2 linked regions of the Saccharomyces cerevisiae S288C genome follow. The protein of the gene in region 1 purifies or fractionates together with the protein of each later gene. This does not show direct contact. Each region holds a gene or a part of one and is shown in the gene's direction. Other genes may lie near its edges. The genes, in order: PTC3 and TDA10.

What was found.
Region 2: the proteins of PTC3 (region 1) and TDA10 purify together in Saccharomyces cerevisiae (affinity purification with mass spectrometry, with the first as the bait; 2 studies listed by BioGRID). This does not show direct contact.

The regions. Positions count from the first base shown.
Region 1 is NC_001134.8:111,925-115,686, forward strand, and holds PTC3 (type 2C protein phosphatase PTC3), read left to right. Parts: upstream 1-1,837; coding exon 1,838-3,244; downstream 3,245-3,762. Other genes in the region: protein phosphatase regulator SHP1, read left to right, coding at 1-784; PTH2 (aminoacyl-tRNA hydrolase), read right to left, coding at 877-1,503; YBL055C (3'-5'-exodeoxyribonuclease), read right to left, coding at 3,649-3,762.
Region 2 is NC_001139.9:907,123-910,585, forward strand, and holds TDA10 (putative ATP-dependent kinase), read left to right. Parts: upstream 1-2,090; coding exon 2,091-2,963; downstream 2,964-3,463. Other genes in the region: trifunctional formate-tetrahydrofolate ligase/methenyltetrahydrofolate cyclohydrolase/methylenetetrahydrofolate dehydrogenase ADE3, read left to right, coding at 1-1,652; YGR204C-A (uncharacterized protein), read right to left, coding at 1,939-2,052; ubiquitin-binding ESCRT-I subunit protein MVB12, read left to right, coding at 3,310-3,463. UniProt on the Saccharomyces cerevisiae protein: ATP-dependent kinase whose specificity is not yet known.

The DNA.
Region 1 (3,762 bases):
AGATCCTAATTCATTACTGAAGGATTTGCTGGAAAAAGCGAGAAGGGGTGGTCAAATGGGCGCTGAAAACGGATTCCGTGATGACGAAGACCATGAAATGGGTGCCAATAGGTTTACTGGAAGAGGTTTTAGATTAGGGTCAACCATCGACGCAGCAGATGAAGTCGTAGAAGACAACACTTCACAATCACAACGTAGACCAGAAAAAGTCACAAGAGAAATTACATTTTGGAAGGAAGGTTTTCAAGTGGCCGATGGTCCGCTTTATCGCTATGATGATCCTGCGAACAGTTTCTATTTGAGCGAGTTAAATCAAGGGAGGGCTCCATTAAAGCTCTTAGATGTGCAATTTGGACAAGAAGTTGAAGTTAATGTATATAAAAAATTAGATGAGTCTTATAAAGCTCCGACGAGAAAACTGGGCGGTTTTTCAGGCCAGGGCCAAAGACTAGGATCTCCTATCCCGGGTGAATCGTCACCTGCGGAGGTTCCAAAGAATGAGACACCCGCTGCTCAGGAACAACCCATGCCGGACAATGAGCCAAAACAAGGCGACACCTCCATCCAAATTAGATACGCAAATGGCAAAAGAGAAGTTTTGCACTGCAATTCCACAGATACAGTAAAGTTTTTGTATGAGCATGTGACATCAAATGCGAACACTGACCCATCGAGGAATTTCACCTTGAATTATGCCTTTCCTATCAAACCAATAAGCAACGATGAGACAACATTGAAGGACGCTGATCTGCTGAACTCCGTTGTCGTGCAAAGATGGGCATGAGCATAAATATACAAAAACAGAAACGGGAAAAGACTTCAACTTAATATATAAATGCACGTATATCTATACCCGTAGTATATATCATTTGTACCTCAATACAATTTCAAATCACCTGTTATTTGATCCAATACTGCTTTTGGAGCAGGTCCTAAACCCAATACGGTGGCACTTCCCGCAGCAATCTGTGTTCTACCAGCATCATGAATAACTGCTGCATTCACCCCAAGTGATATAGCCTTCGCATACAACTCGTCCATTGTAAACTTATCTGGACATTTCAACGTTATTTTAGCCTGTCCAGCATTTAGCCATCTTTGTGTCATAATTGGGTTGTATGAAGCACGCGCGGGGTTTGTAGCAATATGTCTAAAACATGACAATGCTGCGTGACAGCATTGTGCCGCTATTTTGCCCTTTGTCATGCCAAGATCTTGACGAATCACCAATGCCATCCTAACTTCTCCAGGTATATCATTCAATGAAGTGGACTCAATATCTTCGTCCTCATCGCTCTCATCTTCGCTTTCACTTTCCTCCTCATCAGTGTCATTGTGTAGCTTTCCTTCCTTCATTTCTTTAGAACGCAGTAAAGTAGCTGAGGATTTCTTAGTTGATGATGCGTTCGACGTACCCAACTGGTAACCCACGGCAAAGGAGATTGCGGTGAAAGTAGCCCATAAAGCTATGGTGTAATTCGAAGAAACTGTCATCTTTTCCATTAAAAAGACGTTATCATGTTACTCCGCTGTCAACAAGTAATATAGCAAGAAACAATTAGCTCTTATGCTTAAGAGCTTCTAGAAGAGTAGTAATAACCTTTAAACATTATTTTCGTCAGGCGTGATATCAGCGAGTTGAAGAAAAAACAACATGGGTTGTCCCTCAAGAGAATAAACTCAAAGGAGTAAAAGGTGTTTAGAGCTTGTTGGCTCGATTGTTGCCACCGGAAGGCCCCTTTCTGTTTTTAGACTATATTCATTTTACTTTTTGAAGTTTCTATTATAGGCAGACGAAGAAGGCCAAGAAGACAAATCGAAGAAAGAGAGAGATAACATGGGTCAAATATTGTCCAATCCAATTATCGACAAAGAGCATCATTCTGGTACGGACTGTTTGACAGCGTTTGGACTATGTGCCATGCAAGGCTGGCGTATGTCCATGGAAGATGCCCATATTGTTGAGCCGAACCTTTTGGCTGAGTCTGACGAGGAACATCTCGCATTTTATGGTATATTTGACGGTCATGGTGGTTCTTCTGTAGCGGAGTTTTGTGGCTCTAAAATGATATCTATACTGAAAAAACAGGAGAGCTTCAAGAGCGGTATGTTAGAGCAGTGCTTAATAGATACCTTTTTAGCTACAGATGTTGAGTTGTTGAAAGATGAAAAATTAAAAGATGACCATAGTGGTTGTACAGCAACTGTGATATTGGTATCTCAATTGAAAAAGCTACTAATTTGCGCCAATTCCGGTGATAGTAGAACAGTTCTATCTACTGGTGGTAATAGTAAAGCAATGTCATTTGATCATAAGCCCACATTGTTAAGTGAAAAATCTCGTATTGTAGCTGCTGATGGTTTTGTTGAGATGGACCGTGTTAATGGAAATTTAGCGTTATCAAGAGCCATAGGTGATTTTGAATTCAAATCTAACACAAAATTGGGACCTCATGAGCAAGTCGTTACATGTGTTCCTGATATCATTTGTCACAATTTGAATTATGATGAGGATGAATTTGTTATTTTAGCATGTGATGGTATTTGGGATTGTTTAACTTCTCAAGAGTGTGTTGACTTGGTTCACTACGGTATAAGTCAAGGTAATATGACGTTGAGCGACATTTCATCTAGAATCGTAGATGTTTGTTGTTCACCCACAACTGAAGGCTCAGGAATTGGCTGTGATAATATGAGTATTTCCATTGTTGCTTTACTAAAGGAAAATGAATCTGAGTCACAATGGTTTGAGCGTATGAGATCAAAAAATTACAATATCCAAACGTCTTTTGTCCAAAGAAGGAAAAGTATTTTTGATTTCCATGATTTTTCGGATGATGATAACGAAGTGTTCGCAATAACCACCAAAAAATTACAAGACCGCTTGAATCGTAGTAAAGATAATGACGACATGGAAATTGATGATCTTGATACCGAATTAGGCAGCAGTGCTACTCCCTCAAAGTTATCAGGTGAGGATAGAACTGGCCCTATTGACTTGTTTTCGTTGGAGGCTCTATTAGAAGCCGGGATTCAAATAAGGCAGAGGCCCAGCTCCGACAGTGACGGCAACACTTCTTATTTCCATGGTGCTTCTTTATCAGATATGTTGGCATCTTTAAGCAATGCGGCTGCAGGAGAAACAGAACCTAATGATGCTGATGATAACGATGATAACGACGGCGAAGAAAACGGCAAGAATGAAAATGCGAAGAAGGGTTCCAAGATTGAAGAAATTGAATAATAAATATTGTCGAACCGTACTTTGCAACGAAAGAGTAGTCAAACTTTGTTATCTTTATTTGTTATTCCTCTTCTGCCGATGGATTGTTTTTTACTGGATCATCTTTGCGGCCCATATTGAGGAGATGGTGAAATTCATAAAAATCATTACGAGAGAATGATAAATTGTAACAGAATTTATAAATCCTATTCATATAGATACATCTGTTTTTCCTTACTCTGTTTTTATTTTGTTGGTAACCTTTGAATCCTTTTTGATGAAAAAAATAGAAAAAAAAAAAAAAAAAAAATGAAAGCAATATCGACTGTATGTATATGCGCACCATAATTTTCCTATTAATAGTTTAAGCATAATTAGTGTACTTACTAAAAATAATGTAACTTTGCTCTTTGCACCAATAGATGTTACTCTCCAAATATCTTACAGGTCGTCTTCCACGTGGTATCTATCAAAGTAGCCAGATCCACGTCCTTGACTTCCGATACGACAATTGCTACTTGTTCCATATTACAAGGCTC
Region 2 (3,463 bases), on another chromosome or scaffold:
TTGTCCAGGCACTAACGGCTCACTTGGGCAAGCCAGCCATTGCGAACGTCAGACAACCCTCCCTAGGACCCACTTTAGGTGTCAAAGGTGGTGCTGCGGGTGGTGGTTATTCCCAAGTCATCCCAATGGACGAATTCAACTTACATTTGACTGGTGACATTCACGCCATTGGTGCGGCTAACAACCTACTTGCTGCCGCTATTGACACTAGAATGTTCCATGAGACCACTCAAAAGAACGACGCTACCTTCTACAACAGACTAGTGCCTAGAAAGAACGGAAAGAGAAAGTTTACTCCCTCCATGCAAAGAAGATTGAACAGACTGGGTATTCAAAAGACCAACCCCGATGATCTAACACCCGAAGAGATCAACAAATTCGCCAGATTGAACATTGACCCGGACACTATTACTATCAAGAGGGTGGTCGATATCAACGACAGAATGTTAAGACAAATCACCATTGGTCAAGCCCCTACCGAGAAGAACCACACAAGAGTTACTGGATTCGATATCACCGTTGCTTCTGAATTGATGGCTATTCTTGCTCTTTCAAAGGACTTGAGGGACATGAAGGAACGTATTGGAAGAGTCGTTGTTGCTGCTGACGTAAACAGGTCTCCAGTCACTGTTGAAGATGTGGGTTGTACCGGTGCCTTAACCGCTTTATTAAGAGACGCTATCAAGCCCAACTTGATGCAAACTTTAGAAGGTACTCCTGTCTTGGTCCATGCCGGCCCATTTGCCAACATCTCTATCGGTGCCTCTTCTGTTATTGCTGATCGCGTGGCTTTGAAATTGGTTGGTACCGAGCCAGAGGCAAAAACAGAAGCTGGTTATGTGGTTACTGAAGCAGGGTTCGATTTCACTATGGGTGGTGAAAGATTCTTCAACATCAAGTGCCGTTCCTCTGGATTGACACCTAATGCTGTGGTCTTGGTTGCTACTGTTAGGGCATTGAAGTCACACGGTGGTGCTCCAGATGTCAAACCTGGCCAACCTTTACCTTCCGCATACACTGAAGAGAATATCGAGTTTGTCGAAAAAGGTGCCGCTAACATGTGTAAACAAATTGCCAACATTAAGCAATTTGGCGTCCCCGTCGTTGTCGCAATTAACAAGTTTGAAACTGACACTGAAGGTGAAATAGCCGCCATTAGAAAAGCCGCTTTGGAAGCTGGTGCATTTGAAGCCGTAACCTCTAACCATTGGGCCGAAGGTGGTAAAGGTGCTATCGACTTGGCCAAGGCCGTCATCGAAGCTTCCAACCAACCAGTGGACTTCCATTTCCTATATGACGTTAACTCCTCCGTTGAAGACAAATTAACTACTATCGTTCAAAAGATGTACGGTGGTGCCGCAATCGATATCTTGCCTGAAGCACAACGCAAGATTGACATGTACAAGGAACAAGGTTTCGGTAACTTGCCAATTTGTATCGCCAAGACACAATACTCTTTATCCCACGATGCAACTTTGAAAGGTGTTCCAACCGGGTTCACTTTCCCCATCAGAGACGTCAGATTGTCTAATGGTGCTGGATACTTATACGCTCTTGCCGCCGAAATACAAACCATTCCTGGTTTGGCTACCTATGCTGGTTACATGGCCGTGGAAGTCGATGATGACGGTGAGATCGATGGCCTGTTCTAAGACAACTTAATTATATAGAATTTAATAAAGACAAATGCAAAAGTTTTTTTAAAGTATGGATGTATAATAATAATAACGATAATACGAACACTATTGGGACTAATAATGATTTATAGTTTTTTTTACACAGGGGATTTAACGTTCCGCGACCCTTTTTCCTTTAATTTAACCCCAGTTCCTTAACGTCGAAAATTTCCGATTCCGTTAAGGAGGAGAAAACCTAATTACCAAACGAAGCGGGGAGACGCATTAATGAGAACAATAAATGTATGAAACTTTTAGCAATCTAAATGATACTATACCAAGACAAGCGAACACTGGCTAGCACAATATTTGGGCGGAACGAAATAAAATAACGAAGATATACATAAGACACAAAGGAAAAAGCGTTCCATTGCATCTCTGAAGTGAATAATATAAAAAGTAGTAAAGCTAGAAATGTGTGATAAGTCAAAAACGGTATTGGACTACACGATAGAATTCTTGGATAAATATATACCTGAATGGTTTGAGACGGGAAATAAATGCCCCTTGTTCATTTTCTTCTCGGGCCCACAAGGCTCAGGCAAAAGTTTTACAAGTATCCAAATCTATAACCATTTGATGGAAAAATATGGGGGTGAAAAATCTATCGGTTACGCCTCAATTGATGATTTTTATTTAACTCACGAGGACCAATTGAAACTCAATGAGCAATTCAAGAACAATAAGCTGTTACAAGGACGTGGTTTACCAGGTACTCATGATATGAAATTGTTGCAAGAGGTATTGAACACCATCTTCAATAATAATGAACATCCGGATCAAGATACTGTCGTACTACCCAAGTACGATAAATCCCAATTTAAAGGAGAAGGGGACCGTTGCCCCACTGGTCAAAAAATCAAGCTACCAGTCGATATTTTTATCTTAGAAGGTTGGTTCCTCGGGTTCAACCCCATTTTGCAAGGAATTGAGAATAATGATCTTCTTACTGGGGACATGGTTGATGTCAATGCCAAGCTCTTCTTCTATAGCGACTTGTTGTGGCGCAACCCAGAAATCAAATCTTTAGGGATAGTATTCACCACCGATAACATTAACAATGTTTATGGCTGGAGACTACAACAGGAGCATGAACTAATATCAAAGGTCGGAAAGGGGATGACCGACGAACAAGTGCATGCTTTTGTGGATAGATACATGCCCTCCTATAAACTTTATTTGAACGACTTTGTCCGGAGTGAAAGTTTAGGTTCCATTGCTACATTGACGTTAGGAATCGACTCCAACAGGAATGTATATTCTACGAAAACGAGATGTATTGAATAGTGATGTTATGACCTTTTTTTTTACGCCTTTTTTTTTTTTTTTTTTTTTTTTAATTTATCTCACTTTTCCCTTCTATTTTATGTACTAACAGATAATTTTATAATGATTTCATGTATTTTTGGTTCAGAATTTTGACAAGGCAACTCTTGAATAATTGTCGTATGCAAAAAAAATTGTTTATCTGTTACATATCCATCATAAAACTTTTATAGAGCTTTTATTGTCCTTCTTATACAAATACCGTTCAGAGGCTGTCCGAGATTTAAGCGGTTTTGGAAAAATTACTGCTATTAATTAAGATTAAAAAGGAAAGGAAAATAGCAATGGGAGCTTATCGCATAAAAAAATGAACAATAATGTTGAAGAACTCCTACGGCGTATTCCCCTCTACAACAAATATGGTAAGGATTTTCCACAAGAAACAGTGACTAGGTTTCAGATGCCTGAATTTAAGTTACCAGCGCTACAACCAACAAGGGACTTATTATGCCCTTGGTACG